Oreochromis niloticus: one gene and its partners. The protein of the gene in region 3 interacts with the protein of the main gene of each other region in a pairwise test. Links are inferred from orthologs where the notes say so. Each region holds a gene or a part of one and is shown on either strand. Other genes may lie near its edges.

Evidence for each region.
Region 1: the proteins of cpne2 (region 3) and uba3 interact in binary tests that used the Homo sapiens proteins (3 or more experiments, as listed by UniProt). The two-hybrid records come from large-scale screens. The link is inferred for Oreochromis niloticus from reciprocal best matches to the Homo sapiens genes CPNE2 and UBA3.
Region 2: the proteins of cpne2 (region 3) and sorbs3 interact in binary tests that used the Homo sapiens proteins (3 or more experiments, as listed by UniProt). The two-hybrid records come from large-scale screens. The link is inferred for Oreochromis niloticus from reciprocal best matches to the Homo sapiens genes CPNE2 and SORBS3.

Annotation. Positions count from the first base shown.
Region 1 is NC_031970.2:29,901,266-29,910,901, reverse strand, and holds the start of uba3 (NEDD8-activating enzyme E1 catalytic subunit), read left to right. Parts: upstream 1-5,184; 5' UTR 5,185-5,216; coding exon 5,217-5,236; intron 5,237-5,345; coding exon 5,346-5,384; intron 5,385-5,396; exon of another isoform or gene 5,397-5,415; intron 5,416-6,436; coding exon 6,437-6,557; intron 6,558-6,655; coding exon 6,656-6,736; intron 6,737-6,862; coding exon 6,863-6,945; intron 6,946-7,035; coding exon 7,036-7,116; intron 7,117-7,333; coding exon 7,334-7,377; intron 7,378-8,248; coding exon 8,249-8,313; intron 8,314-8,459; coding exon 8,460-8,615; intron 8,616-8,725; coding exon 8,726-8,828; intron 8,829-8,965; coding exon 8,966-9,079; intron 9,080-9,370; coding exon 9,371-9,424; intron 9,425-9,555; coding exon 9,556-9,592; intron 9,593-9,636. UniProt on the Homo sapiens protein: Catalytic subunit of the dimeric UBA3-NAE1 E1 enzyme. E1 activates NEDD8 by first adenylating its C-terminal glycine residue with ATP, thereafter linking this residue to the side chain of the catalytic cysteine, yielding a NEDD8-UBA3 thioester and free AMP.
Region 2 is NC_031977.2:13,312,682-13,323,265, forward strand, and holds the start of sorbs3 (vinexin), read left to right. Parts: upstream 1-5,676; 5' UTR 5,677-5,858; intron 5,859-5,890; exon of another isoform or gene 5,891-5,909; intron 5,910-8,231; exon of another isoform or gene 8,232-8,333; intron 8,334-9,135; exon of another isoform or gene 9,136-9,275; intron 9,276-10,584. Other genes in the region: E3 ubiquitin-protein ligase NEURL3-like, read left to right, coding at 601-634, 1,434-2,002. UniProt on the Homo sapiens protein: Vinexin alpha isoform promotes up-regulation of actin stress fiber formation. Vinexin beta isoform plays a role in cell spreading and enhances the activation of JNK/SAPK in response to EGF stimulation by using its third SH3 domain.
Region 3 is NC_031972.2:7,548,584-7,559,352, reverse strand, and holds the start of cpne2 (copine-2), read right to left. Parts: upstream 4,687-10,769; 5' UTR 4,429-4,686; intron 376-4,428; 5' UTR 359-375; coding exon 182-358; intron 1-181. Other genes in the region: protein NLRC5, read right to left, coding at 7,577-7,658, 7,764-7,847, 7,999-8,082, 9,019-9,096, 9,191-9,274, 9,373-9,456, 9,692-9,775.

The DNA of each region.
Region 1 (9,636 bases), on a different chromosome or scaffold from region 3:
AATTAGCCTCTCCCAAATATCCGTTAAAAGGAATATATCAGCGTTGCTATCAACACTACACAGATGCACACCAAGAAAGATGACAGATTTTCCTGATGCTAGAAAAATAGCAATAAGCTACTTGTTCCAAACCTATCCCCAAGGTAAAGTCTACTACTAAGGAATAGATGTCTCAACTCAAGCAACCAAGAGTCGAAATGAAAGTAAAAGAATTACAGGGAAAGAGAGACACCTCTCCCATGTTTGTACATTGTTAGTCTCTTAGCTTAAGATAAACCGGAGAAGCGCTGTCATTAAAAACTCACTACAATAATATATTTCATGTGATTCATTTCCTGTGTAATTCCAGTTTGCTGTAAAAGCTAGATAATGAAACTTATCATCTACTGACTGAAGCTTTAAATTTAGTGTAAGGATGAGTGTGGTATACTATATATAATGAACAGTAACAGTCCCTTTAAAATCTAACAAAACAACAGTAAATAAATAATAACATAGTGCTAAATACACCCAAACCAGTGGAGTGGCTGTGTTTAATGAGTTGAGTTACATTTCACTGAGCACAGCTGTATACCTTTTGCTTTAAAAGCACCTTATAGTTGTTGCTTTCAATGTTTAGCTCTCCCTTCAGAGCAGAAATAACTCTATTGGACAAAACTGGGAGGTTAAATGAAAAGAAAGAAGAAAAAAAAAAGCAAAATCACAACAACAACAAAACACCATGTGCTGCAAGGTCAGAGCGAGTCCCCCTCCCACGTAGGCAGGAAGTGTCAAGCACAAATTGTCTGTGGGCGCTGCCCATCAGCAACAGGAAGAACAAAGTGCAAACCAGCAATGACGCCACACTCCTCACATCATAGGATGATGGATTATTTTATTTGAACACCTTGGAGACGGTACAGCCAGCCTGAACTTTCTATTTCACTTCAGAATGGTGGCAACAATGCTAGCCTGAAGTTTAGAGCTGTTTCCATACATTTCAAAAAAGGAGTAGGATCGTGTAATTACTTTTAAAGTATACATTTAGTGGGCTTTTAATCTTCTAAATTGTCATTATAAGGGGAATTTTGGATGAGCTCTGTATCTTTCCACTTCTCCTGCCACACTAAGGACATCTCAACAGACCAAAAATCCATTGACCCAACCATAAAAACAGCAAGGGTTCATTTTCACAGCAAATATCTACTCGCAGAGCATCCTGGTAATAGCCAAGTGAAAACACTCCAGACAGCTTCAGTCAAAGGTAATCCATCATACACTGAATAAATCTTGTATCACGTGCAGCACATTTCCTGGCTACATTTCCTACTTTAAAACAGAAAAGTGTGCAGGGTGAATTTGCTTTAATGTGAATGTATTCACACTTGGCAACCATTTAGATGCACATCAGCAAAATATACTGTACTAGATATATGGCTGTGAAGATAACTCATAGCACCCACAGGCACAAAAACACACCCACACTTGCTGGCATCCTACAGTATAGCAGGACAACACTGTTTTGTTGAGTGTATATAGAGTCTAATTACATCGTGAGCAGTGGCGATAAATCACTGGAGTCTTAATCAAAGCACTAGAACAGAGAGAGTCATCAATCACCTACAACAGCACAACACAACATCAGCCTGAAGCCTCTCCTTGTCTTCTTGGCTGGCAGCCCTGCTTTGCGCCTAACTAGGGCCATATCGCTGTGACACATTATCATTAGCACAATCAGCTCTACTTTGGATGTCCTGACAGAAAGCAATCAGATGGCAAATGGATATGAGATATATGGAGCTATAAAGCTGACAAACTCTGATTCCCATGTCACTGCATGCAGAGGAGAAAGCAAAAGATCTCTTTTCCGGTTTTCCGGGGAGTGCACGCAGCTCCTTTGAGGTTCTTCTTCCGAGCAAGGTGTCATTGTTTTGATAGCCTGCCACGATCTAGTGAAGGCCTGCTTAATTCTGATCTCTTCGGTCTTTGCATGAACCTTAACTGCAGTTGGCTGTGATGGATCGCCAAGAGTGGGGTCACCTCAAAAGCACAGTAGTGACATTCAAAATGTCCCAGCTTAAGGTGGGGGAGTGACAGATGGCATTTCAATGGAATCTATAAAAATGTGTCAGCACCAGAAGATTTTGACTTTGCCCTACTTTTCAACTAGTGTACATCTAAAATAACAATACAGGGAAAGCCAACAGAGCTGACACTGCTGCCGTCTGGAGCATACCTAACACCTTAATAAAGTGCCCAGGAGCAAGAGTGTGATTGAGACCCACGGCAATGGGTTTCAGTCATAACCAAACTGGTTTTCAAGTGTCTTCTGGGAATCCATTTCCTTTTTTTTGATGAAATGTTATCACATCATTCTGCTGTTTAACATGAGAGCATGTCCGAGGTTAAATGAAAGAGGACAAGGCGGATAGCACAAATCGAGAGAGAGAAGGGCTGAGATAGCGGGCAGTCAGCTATGAAGGACATGGCCACAGCAGTTATTTTTAGTTATCAGTTTTCAGAGGCTGTCATTCGGAACATCTCATTAAAAATCAGTTTAAAAAAAAAACCCCTCCAAAAAACACCACCACATTCAAATCAAAGAAACTCTGAGGCTTGTGTCCTGCGCACATATGAGCACACACCCCAGCATCAAATATTATGAGCTCATAAGGTTATCAGCTATCAGTGCATACATTAGCAGACTTCTGGTGACCTCTGTAGAAGACAACTTTTCCACATTTGCTTTAATTTTAGAGGCGATGTAGACAGGTGGATTAATTATGTCCACAAACCCACAGGCACCACTCTTAAAATGCAAAGAGGCCAATCCAAGGTTTATTAATGATTCTATAATAAGAGATTCATTAACACGATTTGGACACATTAAATCAGATGCTTTAGGTAGATGCCCTTAAGTAACATAATACCAAGATTTAAATTTCCTGTCTCATCACTGCAGAGTGGAAAACAACTCAAAGCAACAAATTCATTACTTTTTATGTAGTGTAGTAGAAATGCAGAAGAAAGGGTGCTGTATATTTTAGGACTTCATTTTTCATTCAGTTACTTTGCATCCACTGCGGACGATAATATTAATTCATCAGATAGTTTTATTCCACTCAAGCAGGCCATTTCGCTCTTTAATGCTCATTAACTGGTTTTATAGATGATTGCTAGTTGCGGGGCTAAAGCACATAAACCAGAGCAATTATCAGGTAATTACTAGTATAGACTTTATTTAACTCTCAGTGCCATTGTTAAACTCCAGTGCCCCACGGTGATTTAGAAAAGTTACACTAAGATTGCATGAAAAGTATCAGCATTCGAACAACTGTGCTAAATACGATCGCTAAAAATTGATTTCAGTGATATACAGCGACAAGAGTCTAAAGTAAGTGTGCACAAATATACGTGGGAATAATTATTAAAAATAAATCAATCCTCTGAAATCATTTGGCACTAACAAAAATAACATGTTTTATGAATGAATGAAAAAAAGATTAATACTGGATACTTCACTGTGGTCTAGTGTTTTAAAAGCTTTAAATCGTTATCCTGTTAAGCAATAGAGCCCTCTAGCTGTATGTTTCTCCCCATATGTGTCTCAATAATCTCCTGATTTTATCCTGCAAGGTGCCCTATGGCACACACAGCAAAGCATCCCCATAAGGCAACTGAGCCGCCTCATATATCACAGAGGGCAGGGCGTGATGCTCCTTAAAAGCTTAATTCTCTCCTGTGAACATGATGACACTTACTTTTTGTTTCTTCTGTTCGAAAAGCAGCTGCTCAGCAAGGATTTTAGAAAAGTAGAGCTTTTGTAATGTCTCCCTTTCAAAAGTGGGCTTTTCCTGTTGTATTCAGAAAGGGGCGCACAGTACAGTCGGAGTGTTTTGATCTCGGAGGTCAAGTAGTGTATGTTTTGAAGTTTTTGTTGTATTTTTTTTCCTGTGTCAAATAGGCTACAGCCACATCTAAGGAGTTTAAATATGGTCCCATAAACTTCAATAACATACAGAGATCAGATGTTAGCAGAAGAAATTGCAGCCTTTACCAAGACCATACATGGCAATTATTTTCTTCCTTTTCTCTTGTTTTGTTTCTTGTCTCTGTTCACTCTGGTGAACACAAGAGCACAAACAATTTTTTAATTTTAAATAGCCTGAATGACACAACACAAGATTGAGAATCCCTGTATTACAAAGCAAAGGCAATAATCTGCGTGAAATGTCACATTTCACAACATATTTGTGGAATACCCTAAAGCATTTAATCTCTTTTCACAGCTCTTTTGTTTCCTGGCATGCCCAGTTGACAGTATGCTAGTGTTTAGCACAGATGTTTTAATTTCAACACTTATCAGGATGAACAGAGGACCACTACAGTAAGGTGTACGGTGTAAGGGTACTGTATTGAACCAATATGGACAGTATTGATACCAATACTGGCATTGGTATCGGATCAATGCTAGGTGATAGGATCGATACTTTTTTTTTTTATCAGTATGTATTGTGAATGAATGGTGTCAAATAACTTTTTTTGGAGGGGGGTGAAAAAATATAAACATGTACTATTAAAAATGTCTGAACCGTTTTGTTTTGACTGTCACATCTATTTTATTTATAGCCTATTGTACATGTAAACAACAGATGATGAAAAGCTTGAAAAGCTGAAAGGTGTTTTTTTTTACATTTACTAATTGTTGTGGACAGTAAAAACATTACAGTGGTTGATGGTCATTAAAATGTGTTCAGAATTTGAAAATGAATAAATTATCTCATAAATCATGACACACTGCCCCACCCACATAAGCATCGGTATTGGTATTGGTAATACTGGCCCTTGATTTACTTCGTACTGGATCAATACTAAAATGTGCAGTATTGCCCAGCAATACAAGTCTGCACTTGAAAACTGGTGAGTTGTAAAGCCATAACAGGTAAATACTACCATCTGTTGGAGCTTCGATGTAATTTCCGCCTTTATGGCCGACTGTTGACAGTGCTACCTTCATGATAATGGGAATATTGAAATTCCACCTAAGTAATAAAATTAAAACTAATTTAGCATATATAGATTATATGCTCTACAGCCTCTAGCTGCGGGACACATTAATTCTAAAACTGTAAACCAGAACATTGTCAACAGAGACTTTTATCCGACAGTAACGCTATTGTTGGCTGACAGATTTCTTGTTTACTACTGCTAAATTGGACATTTGAAGTTACTCAAAGATGGCGGAGACGGACGAGCCGTAAGTAGCTGCTGAAGAAACAAGCAAGAAACCCCGAAAGATGCTTTCAAGTCACCTTAATCTGCGAAAGCACAGCATGAATCAACCTTCTTTTATTCTCTCTTTTTAGGGAGAAGAAAAGAAGGAGAGTAGTGGAGCTGACTGAGAAGTTAGTGATCAATTGGTAGAACTGGCGCAAGGTTTGAGGTTAACATTAGGAGGAAGGTTAACATTAGCTAGACGAAAAGCTAAGCTAATGCTGGTTGTAAATGAAACTTGTGAGTAGCTAGTTGACAGAAATATCCTGCCTAGTTGACCGTGAATAACTAACACGTCTGTATAGTGAATAAGCAGTGGTGTTATTAATTTCTGTGCGAAGTCAGAGGTCTGTTGTACCTCCTCACTGTTGACATGTTAGCTATTCACTTAGCTTAGCTGCCGGTAGGCTGGGAGCTATTCAGGCAGGAGATATTACCCAAAATTCAGAGGGTCAGAAACGCCCACCCGTGAGACAGGCAGTTTTAGTAAGATGTTTAAAGGGGACGAATTATGCTCACTTCCAACTCTTTGCTGCCTATTTTTAATCTTGGACTCTTCTCAAGAAGTTCACTTTTTTTTTCATCTTATACTGGACCTTGGTGTAGCCTTTCAGGCATTCTGTCTGCAATAATCACTTTCAGCTCCCGCCCTTTAAGGGAGCTTTCATCTGATTGGCTACTCTTCACAACTAGAAAGTTTTAATATGAGGTCGGTGGGGCTTTTGTGGTCACGGCCAAAGTTGTGTGCCTGAGATGACCATATAAGTAGAAACAAGCTTTTGAAACTGAAAGCTTTTGGCTCAAAGATTTGGCCATGTTTAATGTGAGCATCCACCATTGCAACAACTATGAAACTGCATAATAAAGCCCCTTTAAAAGAGCCATATATGTGAGAGAACAGAGGTTGATGCAGAGTAGACATTAAAACATAAGTGAATGTGTACACATGATGCCTACTTAGTTTCCTAAAAGTCGTTTAATTTTCTGCTGTAAATAGCACTCTTTCTATTAACATTAATCACAACATTGAGCATAGGATTTAGTTCATTTCCATGCTGTACGATTTAAGTAGCGATAAACGTTTTGTATGTTATGGGGCCATATGTTGCCATGCATGCACTATTTAACATTTTTGTCAGAGATACTGTTGATAATGCATCCTAAACACGAATGTCATCCTTAGGATGTTGGTGGATGGAGACGCTGGAAGCACCTCTGATTGGGATGACCGTTGGAACCATATCAAGAAGTTTTTGGAAAGATCAGGTCCATTCATGCATCCTGACTTTGAACCTAGCACAGAGGTAATATTTGCAGTGAGGAATCTGATACAGATATCTCATTTTTTCTGTCCTGTGCCATATTTGATATCTCTGATATGAAATGTATTCTCCTATTTTAGTCCTTGCAGTTTATGTTAGAAACCTGCAAAATCTTGGTCATTGGTGCTGGTGGTTTGGGATGTGAGCTGCTAAAAAACCTGGTATTATTATTATTATAATTATTATTATTATTATTATTATTATCATCATCATTTGAATGGTATAATTATAATTGCAGTGAATAGTTCGTATTTAATTTTCATCTTTTTGTTCGTCTTGTGGCTCAGGCCTTATCAGGCTTTCGCAACATTCATGTTGTTGACATGGACAACATTGATGTTTCCAACCTAAATCGACAGTTCCTCTTCAGGTGAGTAGAATCAGTCAGTTCTGTGTAAAGTCTGATCCTTACTGTGTTATGTTTTATCTTTGATTGTCATGTGTCTGTAATTTTCACTAGAGCTAAAGATGTAGGTCGGCCCAAGGCGGATGTTGCTGCTGACTTTATAAACAGCCGTGTGCCTGGATGCTGTGTAATCCCGTATCCTTTTGATTGAGCAACTATTCTGAGACTTCAAATGCTTTATCACGTGCACATGGTTAAAATTTTAACGTACAGTCCTTGTGGATAAAATGTGAAAAATGTTCAGATATTACAGTTTTAGAATGCAAAGACACCATACTACTTTTCTGTGATGCGAACAATATGAAGTGAATGTTGTGTTAAAACCCAAACCTTTCCTAAATGTTTTGTGCAGCTATTTTAAAAAGATTCAAGACTTAGATGAAACATTCTACAGACGTAAGTATCAACAGGGCAATCCATTACTGGCTTTTGTAATGTCTGAATGGATTTGCTCACTTGAGATTAATTTTGTTTCGCATTAAATATCTCACTGCAGTTTAATTTATTTTTTTTAAGTGTGTGTAACCCACTCTAAATGAAAAGTCATTGCACCACTTAATAGAATAGAGAAACTTACTTCACATGTCCACTTTCCTGTGATGTAAACCTGCTCCTTAATGATCTCACTTGCCATTAGCAATTTACATGTTAACTATAGTTACTTGAAAAAGAAAGTTTTCACAGGACCCCATGAAATCCTATGAAAATCCTCCATGATATTCTTAAAACCCCAAGGGCTACAGACTCTACAAGTCTCAGTTAACAGGTCAAATGCTAAAGTTCATGACAGCACAGTTAGAAAAAGACTGAAGAAGTACAGTTTGTTTTGAAGGGTTGCCAGGAGGAAACCTTTTTGCTCTAAAAAAGTGGGTGATGATTTTGGATCTTTTGCAGCCACAGGACACTGGGCACTTTGCTGTCTTTGATTCAACCATGAACTCCTCAGTGTACCAAACTATTCTGTGAGGCCATCTGTCTGATAGCTAAAGTTCACAGCAGCGAATCTATAACAGAAAGGTTGAAATGCTGTGACAAGACTTCAAGAGAGCTGAGCATCTTAGTGCTGCTAACGGTGGTTCTGAAAGCTACTGAATCACGGGATGTCGTTAGTTTTTCACATAACTGCATAGAATCCATAAACTTTATACTCCACTTTTTGATACCTCCACTTTTTTTGACATTTTCTTCACAAAATTTGAATAAAAAAAACAATTAGAAAACGTAGAAAATTGGATTTGAGTTTGTCCCTCTTTCTATCTTTACCTAGAATTCCATATAATTGTGTGTGGATTGGACTCTATTGTGGCGAGGAGGTGGATGAATGGTATGCTGGTAAGTTAAATCTCTTTATTGTGATCTTTAACATGATCTGTTTAGCTCTTCACAGTTGAAAAATGACTGGATTTCTATCTGTAAGACCATGCTAGCTAAAGGGAACAAATTTTAAATGTAAACTCTGTGTTTCTGTTTTTGTGTAGCTATCTTTGCTGGTGTATGAAGATGGTGTCTTAGATCCATCATCCATCATTCCTCTGATTGATGGTGGGACTGAAGGCTTTAAAGGCAATGCCAGAGTCATTCTCCCTGGCATGACAGCCTGCATTGACTGCACACTTGAACTTTACCCTCCCCAGGTAAGGTAGCAGATGTTTGTGTAAAATAATGATCATAGCCATGAGTTAATTATCTTTCAGAACCAGATCCCAGTCAGTTTTTCAGTGCTAAACCCAAACTGTGTCTTTAGATCAACTTCCCCATGTGTACAATAGCCTCAATGCCTCGTCTGCCAGAACATTGCATTGAGTACGTGCGAATATTGCAATGGCCGAAAGAGATGCCCTTTGGAGGTAGGAAGTCACACCATATTATATATTTTTTTTTAATAATAATTACAATTATGAGGTAGTCAAACCTGTGAACAGAAAGTATGTTTCAATTTTTGTTTATTTTATTATTATTTTTTGTTTGTTTTAATGTGGATTAGATGACATGGCTCTGGATGGAGATGACCCAGAACACATCCAGTGGGTGTACCAGAAATCTCTGGAGAGGGCAGCAGAGTTCAGCATAACAGGAGTCACATATAGACTAACACAGGGTGAGCTTGTATAAATAGCATTTCTGTGGCCACGAGGTGACTGTTATTTTTCTAGCTACTCCTGTGGAAGATGAGCCAAGTAATATAAAATACAGCAAGCTGATGGTGCTTTCATTTTGTGTGGAAACTCTTATCTTAGTTTGTGTCAGTAAAACATTACAACACTCCCTAAAGTTCATTCAGATCAGAAGATTTGTACAGCTTTTCTTTCTTTTGACCAAACTGCATTTTCCTCTTTGTTTTCTTTCATGATTAGAGATATAAAAAACTAATTGGCTTTAAATGTTTCAGGGGTTGTTAAGAGGATAATCCCTGCTGTAGCATCCACAAATGCTGCCATTGCTGGTAAGTAGCTAAGACTGTATAAATGTAAGACCTGTGGACTTGATTCCTCTATGAACGATTATAAAAGTTAATGATTCACTCATAGTGCTCTGTAAACAGGATTTGTTTTTTCTCTGCTTTATTCGATGCAGCTGCTTGTGCAACTGAGGTTTTCAAAATAGCATCAAGGTGAGTTCGCAGGCTGTTTGCCACATGTCAAAATGTGTTTAAAA
Region 2 (10,584 bases), on a different chromosome or scaffold from region 3:
GTGCATCACTCTTCTACAGTTCAATGTGTTTCGGTTTTATAGCCGTAAAATATCCATCAAAATAAAAACTAAAGTAGAGGACTGACAAAGCTGCTCAAAAACAAACCAAAAAACAGCAAATATTTTTAATTAGCACCATCATCATCCAGTTATTTTGTTTCTTATTTGTTTTTTATTCAAACATAAAGTGTTTAGTATGTCCCTGGAAGACTGTTTGGCTTTTTTGAAGCATGCAGGTTGGTTTGGATTTAATTCCTGACAAGTGAAAAAAGAAAGAAATGCAAAAAAAATGTTTTGGGCTGATATTTCACATGTATGAACAAAGCCTAACAATAGTACAAGAATCTGTGCACAGAAGATTAAAGCTCACTAAGACTTATACTGTGAGTGTCCTGATGTCTTCACCCAGCTCTCAGACATTGAACTGGGAATGGAGGTCACTGACATCATCAGAAAGTACAGTCACTTCCCCACGCCCTCCTCTTTTCCTTTCCTGGTTATGCTGGGAGTGTTTGTGTTTTCAACCACTATAAAACACAAAGCAGAAGAACACCTTCACCCATCAGGACTCAGCTGACAAGTATTATTTACATCTTCAAAATGCCATGGCCATACTCTATGAGGATTTTTAAATGTAAGTTACAGAGCTGTTTTATATATCAGTTTGGTAAATCAATAATTATTATTCCAAAATCAACAAATATCAGCTGTTTCTATATTGTTACGAGACTAAACAGTTATTTATGTTTTATGAAAACAAACAACATAATTGACTCTGGAAATTATAGTGCATAAATATGAGAAACAGATGTTTTTCACTTGTAACTTTGAAGAATGTAAGATCTGCTGTTATCTATTGAAATAAATCCCTGAAAACTGAGTGAAAACAAAAAAGAATATATGAAAAAAGTACTGTAAGGATTAGCAAACAACTGCAAAAAAATGTCTTAATGATAAGTTGTGAATTAATTGTAAAAATCTTTAAATATAAAGTTTATGTTTTAGAGGAAATGCTTATTGCCAAAGATAAAGTGCACACACAATAACTGTGTGAGAGTCACACATAAACAATGAATAATCACCGGCCACCTAGTGGACATTGAATGCAACTTAGTTCAGGATGAAGTCCAAAGCGCCACATGATTCTCAAAAGTGAAAGCACAGGAGTTTGCAAATTTTATTATGACTTCTTTACAAGTTTATTAGCTTTTATAGTTGCACTAAAATCTTTTTCAGAAACAACTTAACGGTGTAAAATAAGCTCATGATAGAAAACCTTGTCACATTATTTTCTGTTATCTTTTATTAATAGTGAGTCAGACTACTAATTTTCATTAAAACCATTAAATGTATGCATTATATTTAAGCATCTGATCACATGCAAAGAAATATTTTTATATCAGCACTAATAACTTTTATTTAATTCTGTGTAGTTGGCAAGTCAGAGGTGTCACACAGATGCAGCTCACGCTGTGTCGGTCCTCTGACCTTCGACAGTCAAGCTGTGGGAGAAAAGATCCGCCTGAGTCATGGAGGTCGACTCGCAGAGAAGACTGAGAACACCTTCAAGAATGGGCTGGTGTTCAGCAGCCGTCCAGTGAAGGTCCAGGAGAAGATTCGTCTGAGAGTAGAGAGGGATTCGACCATCTGGGACGGGGCTCTGCGTGTGGGCTTTACCACTGTGCCACCCTCAGCCAGATCTCTACCTCTGCCCTGCATGTCCATCCCCAATCTCACTGACAAGCCGGGACACTGGGCTGTTCCACTGGATGAATCTGTTTGTCAAGCAGGTTCAGAGCTGGAGTTTTGGGTTTCTTCTCATGGCAGCATATACGTAGGTGTCAACAACGAGGAGTACGAGCGACTAACAGGAGTGGACATGAAACAGCCACTGTGGGCCATGATAGACATCTACGGACAGACGCGCTCCATTTTATTCCTGGGTAAGTTCACTAGAACCACAGTTATATTTGACCTGCAGAATGTTTTTCCTGTTCTGTGAATGCAGAGCAATTCACATGCTCTGACAGTTATAAATGTTGTCTGAATGACCATTCATAGACTGAATGACTATTCAAATACTCCTTTCTCTTTGCTGAAGACTCCAAGAAAAACAAAAAGCTGCTTTACCATAGAAGATCCTGTCCTGCACCTGAACCGCTCACCTCACCTGATGCTTACAGTCACTTTCGTTCAGTTCCTGATGTTTCAAACTTCAGACGTGATGACTGCATCTCCTGTCTTGACACAAAAATGCCAGAAGGTAAAGAGTCATTTCAAACATTATTGGCTAATTTCAGTTGCACATTTCTGACCAGAGAGGATAAAAGTGAAATCAGCTGTAATAGTGTGGTCTCATTTCCTGATGTCACATTTGTAATTGGGATCTCTCTCTTTTTACCACAGATAAAATCTGTGTGGTGTGCATGGTGAAAGAGGCCAGAATCACACTGCCTTGTGGTCACCGATGTTTATGTAAAGACTGCAACTTCAGAGTCTGTGAGCAGTTTGGTACCTGTCCGCTGTGTCGACACACGATCAGAGCTTCATCAGTGGTGGAGAGGTGGTTTATAGAGGTCAGCTGATCTCTGAGACAACAGCCCGGAATTGTGACAGAAGAATAGCAGCAAGAGTGAAAGGGAACGTTTACAAGATGGTAGTGATGTTCTGCTGGGATGTATGGTGTGGAGATGGTGGCACTGACAAACAGACAGGAGGCCAAGTGTTGGCAGTTTTGAAGATGCTAAGAATGTCTCTGTTAGTGACCATACGGGACAGGACTAGAAATGAGTACATTTAGAGGACAGCTCAGATTGAGCGGTTTGGAGACAAAGTTAAAAAAGCAAGGCTAAGATGGTTTGCACGTATGCAGAAGAGTGATAGTGAATAAACTGGACAAAGGATGTTGAAGATGGAGCTGTTAGACAGGAGGAAGAAAGCAAGACAGAAAAGGATGATAGGATGATCCACTGTGCCGACCCTGAAAGGGAACAACCAGAAGAAGCAGAAGAGGAAGAAAGAAACTTTACAAAAAGGTTGATGTACAGACACTGAACTGAAATATTTCTAAATTGAAATGATTGAAATAGTACATCTCTTTTTGTTTTATAAACAAAATGTATTTTTGTAATTTTTAAGTCATTGTATGACTTAAACACTTAATGCAAAATGTGCTGTATGGTTCATTTTTCATTGTTATTGTAAATTGTAAAGCAATGTTGGATTTTTTAAAATAAAAAATTCAACTATGCCAGTATAATTAATGTGTAATATGTCATAATAAGCTCTTTTCTGTTATTTAGCTGTATGTGTTTTTATGAAACTTACTGTAAATTACAGTGAAATTAAATGGACTGTGATAAAAGGAAACCTGTCGAGACCATGTTTGATTAAAAATGTCTCTACAATCAGGTATTTACTGATTATAGGGACATTAAGAGAAAAATCAAAGCAGGAGTTCAGGTAAGAACACACTGTGTTGCCGACCCAGGCCAGCCCACGTACGTGTCATTGAAGCGGCCCTGATGGTCACAAACTGCCTGCAAGATGAATGATGGGAATAGTTTCCTGTTTCTGTAGCATTGACCATCAGGGCCGCTTGGAGACTTGAAGCGGATGTGGCAGCCGTCGATTGCCCCCACCGCTCTCAGAAAGGCTCTATGGCGTGCCAGCCCTGCAAACCCACAGGACAATACCTCCAGGTCCTTGAGGGTCTTTGGGAGCAGCATGATCTAGTGGCTAATGGCCACCACCCCCTCTGTGAGTCTATGAACAATGTAGTGGACTGTAGAATGAGGCATCCCAAACACTCTTGAGACCACCTGTAGGATGCTCCTCTTGCCAACCAGAAAAGAAACACCAGGGTCTCAGTTGTTGCACCCCAACCATGCTGCCGATCCGGGTTCATGAGATTTAGCAACACTGCCATAGACTCCCTGCTTAGCCGAAAATCAAGCCTGCGATCCTCATGGTTAAAAAAACGGTCCAGGATTGGGACACTCAGGTTAATCCTGCAGTACCAGACTCTGGTCTGGTTAAGCAAAAGGTGGAGAACAACATAAATAGTTTTAGTAATAAGGTATGATTTCATTTATTTTAAGAGATCAAAGCATTAATTTGAATATTAAGCTTAAGTAAAAAATACTAATGCACTGTGAAAAGACTTAAATATTATACACTTCATCTGTGTAAATGCTAAAAACTGAGTAAGTAAAAAACATCAAACAAACGCTAGCTGGGAAATAACAATGCATCATTGATCACATTATTAGACATACTAAAGGTGTCTAATTAGTCATTGAAACGAATACATATCAATATATAAGATTTGCAAGTTAATTTATATGTCTCAGCATATTTTATAACTGGAGGAAAATACATGTTATGATGAAACAACATTTTTATTATTAAATATTTAACCTGCCTACTGTTTGAAGTGGAGGTTTGCAGGTGTTTAAATTGGAGGGAATACATAGGACTGCCTAAATTACTACAGCTCCTTGTCTCTGGCGACATCTGTCTGTGCAACCTGATATCATATGACAAATCCTGTAATAGACCCAACAGTTCCCCTCAGAGCCACAGAGGGACGGTGTGGTACTATCTTTCATGTTAAGGTGCTTTCCAATGCAAAGTCTGTCAGAGTGAAATTGGAGGATATGTTGGGGTGTTGCTTTTTGGACTGCAAAGAGGATCCAACAGAGAAGAGGGCATACATCATTTGACCACTGATGGAAAAAATAGCTTGCAAACTTGTACTTGTGTGTCTGGTGTTCCAGAGATGACCTTTATTAATCAAAAATGAGTTTTTCCTCTGTGAATAATGGATTGCTCATCTGGAAACTTGGTTCAAGAAGAATAAATAACGGTCCCTGTTGAGCTGTTTGGTAACATGGTTGTCTTTTGTCTCTAACACAGCGGCAGACTCACAGAGGTGCGACCTTTGATTCCTGGTCTCACAGCCAGACTGTTAAATATTTATCTTGGATGGCAGGGCTGCGCTGCTTCTGGACTCAGGGTGAAAGAATCTAACAGATAAAACCCTCAAGAACTTAACAGAAGCTTAACATTTGTCCAGAAATGCAGCCGATCTTCATGATTACACTGTGGATTTTACAAGACTACAGCTTGAATACAAAGGTTTTCTCATACTGGGTGGCTGCATAGGGCCTGATACAGAGGATGGAAAAAGTGACACTTATTTTGGGATTAGCCTTTGTGTCCTAGTCTGGGGCAAGTGTTTGCATATTTGGGGTTGTTAGCGGATATGAGTTCATGTAAAAGAAAAAAAGAAATATACTTTCCTGGATCCTGTCTGCTATCTGGATGTCATAGAAAGTGCTAAAGACTCTCCTTTTTCCTTTTTTTTTGATTGATATGAATGTGACACACACTAAAGGCTTAAGAGTGTGAATAGACCAACAGGATTATAACACTAAGGCCTATTTATTGAGATTGCTATAGAAATCATCTTTTTTGGCATGTGCTGTCAAACACCGGAAGGTGGTTCTGCTGCGCCTCTATGGGAATTTCTATTATTTCCAGCTGTGGATGGAAACTATTACCAAGCCCCTTTTTCCCTGATGAGCTTTAAAGAGCATGCTCACACAAACACAAGAAACACACACACACACACATATTACATGCGCACGCCTATGGACACCCAGTCAAACATTCAGACTCAGGCTGAATCATTCACAGAAGATAAAAGACACCCTGTTGGCTTTACAAAGAGAAAGAGGGAGGGAGAGTTCGAGAGAAAAAGCAGCAGCAGTAGTGCCCTCCTTTTTTTTCATTCACTTCCTCTCTCTCCTTGTGTGCTGCAGAGACTTCACCGCTCAGCCTGCACTCTACAGCCTGTAAGTACTGTACAACTTGTGCCTCGGCTTCTCACAGTGACTAACGCAAAGGTTAGAGCTACTGGGATTTAAACGCTCAGAAAGAAGACTTATGTTTTTCTAGCCTCTTTCAGTTTTGACTTCAATTTTCGTGTGAGACTGTAGCACAGATGTGATATTTGCTTCTTCTCGTCACTACTCAGTTCATCACTGGCATTGACAAACAACATAAGGCATTATTTTTTTTAAGTCACTGGTCTGTTACTGCTGTGGGTTTATTTTCAGAATTTGTTTAAGTGACCTTAAGCAGCTGTCTGTGGTTCAAAAGATGGTTATCATCTGACCTTTATCCACACACCGACTCCCATGGTGGCTTTACATGTGGGGATATTTCAGTGTTTTCATCCTAGAAGTGCACTCTATCGCTCTTTTGGAAACAGGCATTAAAACCTGCAAGGATTTATTTCTATACAAGACATGTTTAGAGTGTGAACCAGAGTCCTGGGACATGTACAGCTCAGAAAAAAATGTTGTTTACTGCTAAAATAAACTCTGATGCATTTTTGTTTGTTCTCAGTGACATTCCACATGGGCTACCTCAGCGCATAACCTGTTGTATGGCCGTCGTTCCTTATCAGTCGTCTATCATGATGGCAATGTTTTTCTACGCTTTTGACTTATCTATCTTTACATCTTTCATTTGATTACAACAGTATCTGCTGTCTCCTGTCTCCTCAGAAGACGGAGAAGCTGATGCTTTAAAAAAAGGCTTGGGCCATAGCCACCAAGTATTTTAAGGTTTTTAGATGATTGACCTCCTGAGATCTTTAGCTGTCATTGTTTTAATTAGCTTGTGTGGTAAAGGTCTGCTTGAATCTATCAGTAACAATGAAGGGCTGAAGTACAAGATCATCTGTGTTCCTTCCTATCGTGATTATCTGGTTAAAAACCCCAAAATAAAACAAAAGACAAAAACAAAAACTGGAGCTGACAATGAGTAAACCTTCATGTTTGCGTGGCAATAAGAGAGTAAGACAAATTGAGCAAGGTTTTTAATACAGAGACGTGCTGAGCACCACCGCGCCAAACCTGCTATTGCCTCTTACGTGATTACCTCATTTAGGCGCAGAGTGACAAAGTACCAGATTTGGTCACAGCAGGGTTAAAGTCTGTGCCAGCAGGACACAGATTATGAAGGAAGGCTCCTCTAGATCGCCCTGCACTGTCCGTTTAGGTTCAGCAGCTCAACTGGTTGGCGAAAACAATCCTGTGAAGCGTACAAGCTCAGTAAGTGGATATCTGCGCTGAGCTTTGGTGTACCAAGCCAGACCGCTGAATTATTGAAAGAGCTGAGTGCTTCGATTTCAAGTTGAAACTGGCGAGCACATGCACAAAAACATACACTTTTAAACAAATGGGCAGACCGTTGAGTAGGCCCTGATAAATTTCCTTCTTTGTCCTGCTGGCTTTCAGTTTATTGCTGGAATAAAACATGGATGTAAAAGGAGGGATTGCATCTGTCAGCAGGTGATCGGATCACTCACCTGCAACACAGACATTGTAAATCAGTCTTCCTGCTGCATAATATGTGCCAAAGCAAGCCTGTCAGCACACTGGATTTCAGGTTTTACACCGTTTGTCTTTTTTGGCAAGAACTGTGGGCAAACTGGAAATCCTGGTTTCATTTGGGCAAGAACTGTGTGTGTGTGTGTGTGTGTGTGTGTGTAAGACAGCAGGATTTAAGAATGTGTTTGTTCCTGTTTGACTGATCTCCTTCTAATTTGCCTTTAAAAGGGCAAAACATATTTCAGTCTCTTGTTGTTTCATTTTTATCTTCACATCCAAAAAAGTATTGCTATTGTGTGCGATCATGGGAGAAAAGTCAGCAGGACTTGTGCTGTCAGTGGTTGCCTATGTGGCGTAGAGTAATGACTCTGAAACACTTCCAGAGCTACAGGAACAGAAAGAGCTCTTATTCTCCCTTCATGCCTTTGGCTAGCCAAAGACCTGGACTGTGTACACACACACATTCATGTAAGACACACACACAGACACACAAAAGGAGAGGAAGGCATGGGATAGATAAAGTTAGGAGGGGACATGATGGAGTCACTGGGTAGTGTCTGGGAGGTGGAGGTGATGAACTATTTTGGTTCTCCTTTGGTTAACCCTGTGCAGTGAAATATCACCTTATGACAACAATAGAGCTGCTTCACTGAAGGAGGTGCCCCAAACTGACAAGTCAAGTACGAGGGGGGCACTTCTTGAATATGGGGGGGTTAAAATGGGTTGCTATGGCAATGCCTGTCAACCGGAGAAGTCTTCCGCGGAAGCAGGGAGAGAGAGGACTGGAAAAGAGAAGAAGAGAGAGAGAGAGAGAGAGAGAGAGAGAGATTGTGTGTCCTGGCTAGTTTCATGAGTCAGAGAAAGTGGAGGGAAGGTCTGCAAGTGTGGTTTTCATGCACAGCTCATGCAGACAGAAAGAGGTGTGAGTGGGTAAGTACACCAAATGGGAGCACAAATATATAAAAACCAATAGCAGGGATTGACCTTAAGCATTGTGGCTGTCTGGAAACATGTGTAAGTTTTAAAACTGTGTTTTGTTTAAGGTTGAGTAACCTGTCTGACTGCTCAGGGATTACATGCTGCTCTACAGGATTAATGCTGCGGTTTACAGTGTCTTAAAGCAAGTTAACTCATGTAGTTAGTGTTGAAACGGACAACAGGAGTGTGCTCCACTTGCGTCTGAGCAAGTGGAGATGAGAGCAGCTGGAGTCACAGCTGGAGCACTGAGGGAGAGAGTGAGAGTAAGAAAGAGAGAGAGAGAGACCTGGCATTGGGGATAGTGTTTCCCAACATGTCATCCCTTGTTGCTTTGCCCAGTGGGTAAGTGTACACTGGCAACTGTCAGGTGAGCTGAGAGGAAATAATTAGTTCTGTCAGGATTACTTTCCCATCTTGCAGCAGATATCAGGCCTAATGGCCCCAGGACCGTCCAGGCATCACCGGAGGCCCTCCTCACTGTCGGGGTAATTTCCACAGTTGGCTTTGACTCCCTTTGTGATATTACTGAGGGTCTAGCTGCCAGCACTCATAACCACTGGCTGCACTCAGCTTTGAAGATGCAAGATGACAAGCATGAGGATTTGTGACATTTTTCTGCAGTTACTCTGCTCTGAGCTTTGTATTTTCTCATGCTTTGTCTGGCGTATCGAACACAAGCTCAAATAAGGAATCACTTTAAATGATGTGAAGCATGCTTTTTTTGTTGTTTTTGTAAGAGCAAATCTGATAAAACGGAACCTACTCTGGCTCTACCCGGAGAGGGAGGCTGTGATTTACTGCCTTTGGGCTTCTCCTGGGAACTCAGCGCCTCTCCATTGACAAGAAGTACAGACTCCTCCTGCTGCTCAGACTGGAGGAGCACCATACAAGGAGGTGAAATACTTCCCTCCTGATAAATGTGTGTATCCCCTCAATAACTGCATATCATAAACTTGCGGCTGCAGGACCTTGTATGGGCTGCGTCGGCACATCTGCGATGCTGCACACGGGAAGCAATGTTGTACCATCGACCTCGCAGAACTGACCTCTCACATAGCTGCAGAGTGACTCACTTTATGTGTTTGGAAATAAAAGCCTGTTTTATTTACTCGACAAATGTGCTTGTAATTACCATCTCACCACTTTTTAAGGCAGGATTTTGTTGGTTTTTACAGCGCTCTTATGTAACTTACTGGGCAGCAGTAACACTGTGTACGTGCAGATGAGGTGATAAGACTTTACCCTTCAGAGCAGGTTAAAACAATATCCACACTCCTATACATGATTAGAATCTTTTTGCACATTTTAAGGATTTTATGGCACTCTGAGAGTGTTTAGGTCGACATGTTGTAGCCGGCTTTCTTCATGAGCTTTTACACAGCTTTAAGAACTTTTAATCGGACTCTTTGCAGCAGTGCACTCTTAAGGAGTAAATGATTAACTCTTTTGCTTCTGCTTACCGTGCTGCACAAAAGACTTGGGGGCTCATAAATGGTGATCAATTCACAAGGGACTGTTGTTTTTTTTTTAAGACCATCTTTCCTAATTTGCAAAAAAACAAAACAACCGTCAAATCACGACGTTCCCAGTAGCAATCGCACAAGTTCATGGGTCAGCACTGCCGCAGTTTTTCATCAGAGTATGTGCGGCCACCTTGACAGCCTTGCTCCCACTGAGAACAATATAGGACGTGCTCTCTCTTTGTGCAGTGGAGATGGAGGTCATCATAGGTCAGGGTGTTCGCAAAAAGACCTGGCTGCAGCTTTCTATGGAAGATAGAGAACTTTAGGAAACGGTGGCTTCTTGCCATCAGCTGGTGTCATGAGTGAGAGCTGTGTGATCTGTGAAATGGGTTTATCTTTACAAACATTTGACATTTTTTTGTAGTCTGCAAAACTGCTACTATATTAGAAATGTTATTAACAGCTGTGGAAACCTCCTTTTTGTGACTCAGAGGAATTACAGGGGTGTGGTGAAGTTCAGTGACCTCGTAGCTGCTGACTGGTTCTGCTCTGTCTCAACAACTTCTGATAATAGCTTGATTTGTCATCAACTCCCTTTGGACTAAAAGGAGAAGTAATCTTGTAGGTTCACTAAAGTCACTTTTTAAAGTTAATTGTGACACAAATGTTTAATTTGATATTGCTGATAAAACTAAGTTTCAGTCGAATATTTGGCTCAATTCTTTGAGACGCCGGATGAG
Region 3 (10,769 bases):
TGACTACTTATGATCTTAACAGTAATATATCAATTCTCTGTTCGGTCTTTCCTCTTCAGTCTGCCAATTCATTCTCCATTGATTCTGCACTATTAAAATGAAGCAATCCTCTCATTTCTCTTGTCATTTTCTGTAGTATTTCTCATCATTTGTCTGATCAGCTCTCCATCCTTTACTGTACCTCCACCCAGTTTCCATCCACTTCGTGGAAGAGAACGCAGAATGGATCCGACTTGGAGGCTACATCTCGATCTAGCAGGCTGGACGCAGTGACCGACAACTCCACCCGAGTGACACAGTGCTGAGGTCCGACACTGCGCTTCTGGCCATCAGTGGCCAAGCCCAGTGTGTAGGCCATGGTCACACCTGATCACCCTGAAGGAAAGCAAACAGGCTTTTAGTTTCATACTTGTGCACATCTGAATCTTGACACTTAACCAAATATGTCATCCTTACAATGAATTTTTCCACTGTCGATTGAAAAAAAAAGATTAAACAGAGCTGCTGTGATTATTAATAACAAATCTCAGCACATTCTCAGCTTGTGCAATGAGAATATGTGCAGTGATATGACAGTGAACTAAAACTCTCTGCATTATGTGCAGTTAGCTGTTGGAAACATAACACCTGAAGATGCTACTTTTGGCTCTGTAAAGTGGTGAGGGTTATTTTTTCACAGACTAAATGAATTTATCCTCTTCAGAGTACCATCATAGCAGAGCTGTTACAGCCTGCATCACAGCATAGGAGCACATTCACTCCCATTCCTATAAACACCTTTTTCTGTACTTTTTCTGCATAAGTGTTTTCTTTCTAACATTCACTGTCTGATGGGAGCATCAGAGAGCAACCAAAGGATATCTGGCATATCAACCACCAACCTTCTGGTTTGTAGATGACCTGCTCTACCTCCTGAGCTGCAGCCACCCAGAATAGAACATAGAAAATATATCATATGTTCAAAATGAGAAAATGTACTATTTTAAGACAGTATTAAGGTCTTGATCTCTGGATCTCTGTTGTATGTTTTCTTTGCACTAAATTTTTCCAACAGCTAAATGGTCTGGACCGTAAGCAGGTCAGTACAACACCCAGACTCTTATACTGTGCTGTTGGAGTAGCTGTGGTTGAGCTTTATCTTGCTGAAATATGCAAGGCCTTCCCTGAAAAAGGGGTCGACTGGATGCGGGCATATGTTGATCTAAAACCTGTATACATCTTTCAGCATGTGCAAATTGCTAATTCCATAGGCACTAATGCACCATCCTAACATACAGGACACAGGCTTTTGACTCGAGTTGGTCCAAGGTGCAAGCTTGATGATCTCTCTCCTCTTTAGTCCATGTTTCCAAACAGAATTTCTGTGTTCACAGGCAGCTATTTCTGGAAGTGTTCCTGAGCCCTTACGTTGATTTCCATGACAGAATCGTGTCCATTTTAAATGCAGTACCAGAGGATTACAGGCATTAAACACTCTTTTTGAGACTTGTCCCTTGTGCACAGAGATTTCTCCAGATTCTCTTTTGATGATATTATGTACTATAGGTGAGGAGATATTTATATTGTAGTTTTATATTGATTCTGAATTATGCTGAAAATTGTTCCACAATTTGTAAACACAGTTTTTTGCAGATTGTTTGACCTTGTCCCATCGTTACTTGTTCTTTTTATAACCCGTCATCTTACTGACCTGTTGCCACTTAACCCAATTAGTCACAAAATGTTCCTCCAGCTGTTTCTTTTTAGTACCACTTACTTTAACAGCCTTTTGTTTTTTTTAAATGTGTTGCTGCCATCAAATTCAAAGTGACCTTATACATCTTAAAATGACACATTTTCTCAGTTTAAACATTTGATGTTTTCTACATTCAACTGAGAATAAAACATGTGTTTATGAGCTTTGTAAATTACTGCGTTAACACCGGTGAACACAGGTATAACTGATAAAACGAAGTTATGGTCCTGTTCTATTTAGCATACTGATGCCATTCTTGTCAGTGAGCATACACAATGCCAGCACCCCATCCAAATGGAACAGAGCCATAATTAGAGTTATTAATTACACCTGTGTTTACCCTGAGCCAAAATGGCTGCTCAGTAAATGGACGATTAATTAGACCAAACTAAAACAGAGTGCAGGTACAGAAACTGGCTGAAACATTACTGAGGCTTAAAATGACAGAAACAGATGTGCAGAGATTTTCCTGTTAGGCTGTCATGAAAAAAAGATAAACAGCCAATATCAATAACCTACGGTCACCATCAGCTCAAAGTATCTGCCAGTGCCACGAAGAGTGAGTAAATAAATGTGCTACTCTCATGTAATGTAAATGTAAACAACTGTAGGTTGCTATTACATACACACAGATGGCTGGTGTCCAGGATGAACCGCAGTTTCCCTGACGTAACTCTAACAGACAAGCATGTGCATGTGCTCATCTTACGCTGGTATCCAACCAAATCCTAAATTACTGGAGACACCGCTGAGGAGAGAACACGAGACGCTCCCAACACCCTGGGTGTCTGTATCTGTTGCCACGCAGAGAGCACAATTACAGAAATCAGTGTTTGATATTTGTCGAATGGAAGTAACATTTTAATGTCACCGTTTGTTTTTTTTTAAAAGTTGTTTGACATATTTGTGACCTAATCAAACGAGGGGAAGTTTACCCAGATAACAGAATTAGTAAATCCCAATTACATCAGATCACCTTGAGAATTCGGCTTAATCATACAAATGGTTCTGTTCGGCTAAAAATACCCAATGAGTACAAATAAAACACCACTGGTGTAAAAAAAATCCATTGGGGGCATTATGAGAGTCATAGTTACCCTCTGATAAGCCAAATGATACCCAGGATTAAGCACTGCAAAGACACCCACACACACACACACACACACACACACACACACACACACACACACACAGTGCCCTGAGCCCAGATCAAAGCCATTACCTCTAAACTAAAGAAGCCTCAGGCTAGGAATGGAAAAAACAGAAAGAGGGAATACACACACACACACACACACACACACACACACACAAATCTTGAAACAATTGCTGAGTTTAGTAAAAAATGTTGTGAACACATTCTCAGTGGTATTGCATTTGAAATAATTCCCAGGTGGCTTTTAGGACAAATAAACAGCACAGCGCCCCGTGTCCAGATCAGTGGTTTTGTTCTCACAGCGGCATGCTAAAAGGATGCTGTCTGTTGCTAAGATACTAATGTGTCATAAGCAGCGTGCTCCTCCCGCTCAGCTCCACTGTGATGTCACACTGGTAGTGGTGATGCACTGAAAATACCAGTGCAACATTTTCATTCACTCACTTCATCATTCATAGGTGGAGAAAAGCGTGTTTTGACTGGCTCAACTACTTTTACTCACTCGCTCATTGTTCGTGGTCTCAGTGGCATCTCCTGTATTTATAGATGCTATTAACAACTCCAGTGAGAGAAGGAGCAGAGAGTGGGATAAATCCAGCTTTAAGCAGACACCTGCTCTATCCCTTATATAGAAGTGTGAATGATTAAGATTAAAAAGGCATCACAGATTGCCAAATAGCATTATCAAAGAAAACATGGCTTCATGAAGCATGCTACAATGCACCAGAGCAGCTTTAAAAGGTGTCCAGTGTATTGCTCAAGTGAACTGTGCTGCACTTTAACTGGATTCAGGATAGGTCCACAATATTTGAGACATCAGAGGGGAAAAACAGGATGAATGTTTTCTAAAAGCAACTGAACCTCACAAAACTGCATTTTTCTTGTACTGTGGCTCTAAAAAAAACTAGAGCTGCTATTGCATCATTTTTGGCTACATGATGCACTTTGTGTATGAGTGCACTGTAGAAAGAAAACACAAACATAAGCCAGGGTCAGGTGCAGGCCTCTGACTGTACTGACCGTGCCAAAAAGCTTCACACCTGCTCACACCTGCATTTTGGGCAGGCAGCTTAAAGTGAGTGACTGAGGCGGAAAATGACCTGGAAGCAGATGGCAACTTGTTAATACTAGCGGAAGGATCAGCACGCTTTAAGTTTAATTACAAGACCGGTGAGCCATATTGGTGGCAAAGTAGCCAACATCACTGAAGAGTAGACTCTAAATCTGAATCAAGGAGAGAGATATGCCAACTTAACCATTAAAACTCTCTTTCACACACACAAACACAACACCTGTCTATTCTGTACCATATTTCCTGTGATATTTTTTTGGTCCTACATGAAAGGTGCTCGTCAAAACATGACATCTTCCCCACATCCTTCCGTAATTAACCTCCAAGAGAAGCACACCGACTGTACATTTTGGCTGCAAGGGTTATTTTTGCGTCTTAGTAGCTTCCCGGTTCCCCTTTGACTCGGGATCTGCTGTCAGATCTCTTCTTCTAATGTAAACCCAACAGGAAAATCTGAAACCGACTCACCTCGGTAAATGACGAACAACTTCTCCGCCGCTTTTCACTTAAAAAAAAAAATCTTTAAGTGCTGCGTACAGTGAAGAGAGAGGAAAAGCAGAGGCAATTTTCCTATAAAGGAGTGAAAGCTGAGGTTAACATTTTTTTTATTATTAATTTTTTTTTTTAACCCGAGTATCCTGGAAGGCGCAACAGTGTGTGAACACAAACCATCCTCGCAGCCTGGACTGTGCTCTCTGCGCCCAGCGCCACTGAAGGACAGAGTTTAATAAAGCCAACAGTGGTGGCTTCACAGCGGAAGTACGACAAACTCACTCCCAAATCAAAAGCGGAAGAGTCAAGCAGAAAAACTACTTCCGGTTAGTCTTTCATGCGCGATCAGTGCCTATATTTTCCATAAAATTACAGAACAGGAAAAAGATGCATATATTTTTTTTACCCTACTTAATACGGTGAATGCATTTATTCCACATCTAAGACATAATTTTTTTAAAATTATTTTGATTTTTTTTTACTTACTAAGTACTTATAAAGTTTATCTTTAAAACATGAATTTAATCTTCTCCCTTGTGTACAGACATCAGGCCCCAAGTTTGTTCACTTTCTTTTAACACTACAGCCACGTTAGATGTAAAATAAGGCTATTTACAGTAGCCAACAGGACGTTCATTTTAAAGCATTATTTTAAAAGTATTTCCCAATGTTTTATGCTTCTGCTAACCGCAGCGAAGTCTAAGCATGTACATCTGCATGCGCAGTATTTTATGGTGTTATGTATTCAGTCTTATTTTACTTTCCATTGTTATTTAGTTGAATCTCAATAAAATGTAATTCAGCCTTGGAAAAGTTTACATCTTTAGTCACATTTGCATGTTTTTTATGTGCTGCGTATAAGCACGCCCACAGTTTCAGAGTCTCGTTAATCCTGGGGTATACGCAACATTTTTCTGATAATTTCAGATGAACATTGTGCAAGAATAGCAAGCAAAGCAAATCCTTCTTCCATGGAGAGAAATTTGCCTCCAAAGGGTTGCAAATGCGTACGATATGATCCACAAGCGTAAACTAACCTTTAAAAATGTGTACAATGATTTGTGTCTAACTTTTTAAGGACTCACGACGAGTGCTTCAATCCACACACAAACACCTGAAGTGAAAGGACCCAAGTTTTGGTAATCCTCCTGCAGCCCATTCAGCAGTACCACTGTTAACCACAAGAGGGCGGAAAGTGAACATAATTTACAACCTTTCGACCGAACGCAGCTGCTGGTGCCGCTGACAAGGAAACAGGAGAGGTATGAATTGTGCTTTGCATAATGAGCAGGACATAAGATGACCTAATCTACACCAAAAAGATGTAAAGTAAAAGCATAAAGCAATCAGGTATCAACTTTTAATTGCTGACATTGAGAACAAACCAGAATTGCCATTTTTTTTAAGTTGTATATTATAGTTGAGGTGCATATTTTTTGTATTAGACTTTATTTAACTGGCATGTATTGCTAGAGCAGATTTTGTTGAGTTTGTGCTTTATTGATGTGTTTAAATTTAACATCATACTTTGTAAAACCGCTGACATAACAAAAAAATAGAAACTCAACTTAATGTTTTCTAATTAGCAGGTGACATCTTAATGCAACTCATAGTCAGGAAATATCAAAAGTATCTGCAATTTTTCTGTCAAGCTCAAATCACAACCTGCACACAAACCTTTCAAAAACTATATTTAACAGATAAGCAATTTTAAATCCTTTCAGTATGATCCAGTGTTGCTCCAAAAATCAAAGGAAAAATGAAAAAAACGGACAATTACACACGGGAAAAGAGAAAGGAATAAGGTGCATTACATTCAGAAATCAGAGCATCAGCATGACGTTAGAAAGTCATGGTGCGACCTGCAAAAGTTACAGGATCTTCTTTTGGTCACAAAGCAAATACATTCCTATAAAAATATTTCTTTTTTTTTTTAAAATTTTAACCCTGATTTAATCACAGCTCAATAAATAAATACAATTTCTTGTGTCCTACTATGATAAACAGCAGAAATAAATACGCACATTGGATAGAGACCACGACCTAGAATGACGATAGGAGCAGATAACTCTTCTTTTACTGTGACTTTGTGATTTCTTGTGTTTTCAGTAATGTGGCCTCTAATTATTGTAAACATTCCACAATGCAAATTGACTCCTTGTATCAGAGTCTGCAAAGATACAGTCATCATTTCCTCACAGGAAAATAACACAGCGTGGCCTTTATTTTCACAGCAGTTTGAGTCGGTGTGAAGCTCAGTGGTGTGCTACTGAAAGGTGGAGCTCAACAAAGGTTTAGTGATTTCACACTTTTTTAAGTGCATACATAAGTTAGTGTAATATTTTTTAAAAGCCATCTATAATGTACTTTGTGACTTTTTCTAACTTTATTGTAACAAGTTTGAAATGATCCTGTCATATGGGAAATACTGTAGTCCCGTTATAACAGTAAAACATTATCTGTCCAATTCAGTAGGGAAGAATTTAGTAATGAGTGTGATACATTAGTTAAAACTGAACACTCAACCTTTGGCAGGGCCTGCTTTGTGTATGTGTGTGTTTTTCCTTTCTCCCAGGAATTCACTGATAAAACAGGAAGCAGCTGGCCAGTCTCTCAGCATCACTCACTTGGGTGTCCTCGCCCACCTACTCGCCCGCCTGGCAAGGTGATGACAGTACACCCTCAGCCGTAAAAAAACTCATTCTACTGCTGATTAATACGACTCATTATGACAGTAAGTGTGTTATTTCAATGGCTTTGAGGGAACTTTTTGTTAAAAACTGCATCTCTAGTTAGGCGGACAGTGACAACAGCTTTTGAAAAAAAGGTTTCAGTGACTTCCACCGGTTTCCTGCTTTGTGAAACCAAAGGCCAATCAGTGCAAAGTCAGAGATTTAAATAGTTTCAAAAATACATTATTTCTTCTTGTCTTATTTAAACTGTACAGCCGTGTTTTAATGGAGCAGCACTTAGAAAAAAAACCCCAAAACACTTCAAGCAAAAAAACCAAATTTCTCACAGATTTTTAAGTCAATGTTGGCAGAAGAAGTACTGGAGTGTTCATCTGCACCGGTGCTGGTGAACTGGAATTGTACTTCTCAACTGTCCAGCAGTGCAGATCATATCAGGTGGAAGAGAAATTCATCCTCCTGTCCCTCAGAGCGAGCCTATGGACATCACCCTCAAAGATTTTGTTCTTCCAGAGTCTGAAACCAAGTTCAAGAATTTATAAAGACCAGAACATTATCACAACATTAAAAATTAATAAGGTTTCAGTGGATAATGCAGGCATAAAAGTTCAGGAAGTTTACCTGATGAGTTGCAGAGCAGGGCAGAACCTTAAGGCTTTAAGCAGGGCCTCCGCTCCAGAAACACTCAAGCTGTTGCACTCGAGACTGTGAGAAATAAACACTTAATCTCTCATGTACTGAGACTAGAGTTGTTTTCCTTATTGTTTTAATAAATATAAGAAATCCTAAATGAAAAGTGGAAGGAAAAAAGTAAAACTCTTGCAGTTGCGGGTCTTTATGTGTGTGTTTTACTCACTCTATCTGAGTCAGCGTATGACAGAAAGGCAAAACCCTGGCCACTTCTAATGCCACTTCATCACGACAGTTATTCCAACCCAGACTAGACAGACACCAAGACACAGAGAGAGAGGTTTAAAGAACAGAAGCTGAAGCACCACGCAAAAAATTACTTTTAATTAAAAACCATAGTGTCATGTACAATAATACCTTAAATAATTAAATCATCAGTTCCTTAAACTGTGTGGTGCTGTGTAAAGTGTAGGTAAAAACAGAATGAAATGATCTGCAGAGTTCATAAATCCATATTCTGTTCACAAGTGGCAATAGAAAACATAATATTTACACATTTTGTATTTGATGTGGTCATAGTGTCTCAGAAAAGCTGGGACAAGGGCAACAAAAGGGTGGGAAAAAAGGGGCATTATAAAGAAACATCTGGAGGAACATTTAGCAAATTATTAGGTTAATTTGCAACAGGTTGGTCACATAATGGGGTATAAAAAGAAGTAATGATGGACAGAGGCTGAACAATCTGCAATAAAAAAACTGAATATCTTCTCATACAGTGCATGACATCATCAGAAAGATTGAGTGGATCTGGAGAAATGCCTGTGTGCAAGGGACAAGGTCAAAAATCAGTATTGGATGCCTGTGATCTTAGTTCCCTCAGGCAAGAATGCATTAAAAACAGGCACGATTCTCTCATGGAAATCCCTCAGGAATACTTCCAGAAATCACTGTTTGTGAACACAGTTCATCCACAAGTGCATGTTAAAGCTCTACCATGTAAAGAAGAAGCCAGATGTGATCACAGTAACTTTAAAAGGAGCTACTATTTTTCTTAAATGCTACATTTCAGTTTAAACCTTTGATGCGTTTTCTATGTTCTATTGTGAATAAAACGTGAGTTTACAAGATTTACAAATCATTGCATATAGTGTGTGCCAACTCTTACAGAACTGGGGATGTCCATGTACCAAAGAACACAGAACACCACCAGATTATTAAATGTTTGATCATTTTTGCTTGATCTTACCCAACTTCCTGTATGAGGGGACAGTGAGCCAGACTGGCTACAACAGCACACAGCTCTGAAGTCCCAACAGAGGTCAGGCTGAATTATTGTGCAAAAGACAAAAAACAATCAGTAAGTGTAGTCACCTGTGTGAGCTGTGATTCTGAAAATAATCAAAGCAAGTGAGTCTTACTTAATCTTTTTGAGGTTCTTCATGCACATTATGGCTTTGGAAAGGCTATCGGAGCCTTCATGGTCAATACGGTTGAGAGAAATGCTACAAATGACACAGAATTAAAGAAAGAACAAAAAGGCTGAATAAGTGAGGGGAGAAACACATATCAATGAGAACATATACGCCTGGGTGAGACTTACTCTAACACACTGAGGTGTGTCAGTGATGGGAAAATGAGGGCCATCCTGGCAGCAGTGAGGTTTCCCAGTGTGTTATCGGACAGACTGGAAGAGTGCACAAAAAGACATATAAATATGTACATTTTAAAACAATCTTTGAGTTGCATGAGTTAAATGCCAATTAATTATATAGCCAAATATATAAAACTCAGCTTTTCCAAAGGAAAATAAACAAGTTTGAAGATTAAACTGTTCACTCAAAAGTTTTGAGGGCTTATTTTGTACACTTCTTGCAATCAAGTGCCAAAAGCACATTTACAGGAATGAAACACATTCTCACCAGAGCTCCTCCAGGTGGCTGCAGTCTTTCAAAGCCTCGAGCAGCTTCTCTCCTGATTGGTCACTGATAAGGTTCTTTGACAGCCTGGAGGATAAACACACACAGCAAGAAAAGCAAAATTACTCGTTTTTAATAACTGTTAATGGACCATGTAAAGTGTTCTGACGACAGTGTGTTTTTTTGATTCTTCCACTGGATGGCGCCAAACTTAACTCAAACTTTACTTTTAAATTATATGGATAATAGACACCATACACATTACAGTGGATTGATATAGCTCAGTTAAATCTGTGCTATAGGTAACTGGAAACTACCTAAATGCTTCAACTTTGCAATAATATCATTTACAGCTGATCATGGAATATCTAGGACCAAATAAATTTCACAAGCTGACTTGACTTATTCTTTCACAACTGTTTGCAAAGACAGACTGCATTACTGGGTGCTTGACTTGATACATCTGTGGCAAACAGTATGAAAACACCTGGATTCAAAGATTACGAGATTTGGCCCAGTATTTTTGTCCTTATGGCATAGATTGCATTATTACTGGGAGAACTTTGGATTTAATTTAATCTGGGCTATTATTTCTGGCTATGTGTCAATGGAAAATTGTACTTAGTAGTCAGTATAATCTTTTAATGATATAAGTTTCCATATATGCTTAGAGGTGTATAATCGATTGTGTAGTGATAGGATGTGTGATCTTTAGTAGACTGCAAAAGGCTTTGGGTGCATTCCAGGGTGTTCTGGCATTCAAACCCACATCCTGGGAGCATGGGAAAAGGGCATACCTTCTCTTATTGTTTTATGATAGGATAAACGTATCTATGTCTGTTTTAGGCTAAGTGCCTTTTGTTTAGATGAACTGCTGGACTTCCAGGCCAGCAGGTTTAGGGAAGTCATTTATGGGGTCACACTCTGACCCCACACACACACACAGCAAAGAAGGACTCATCCAGGCTGGAGAAACTGATCAGGAAGGCTAGCTCTGTGGTCGGCATGAAGCTGGACACTCTGGTGTCAGTGGCAGAGAAAAGGACACTAAAAAACTGCTGGACATTATGGACAATGCTGG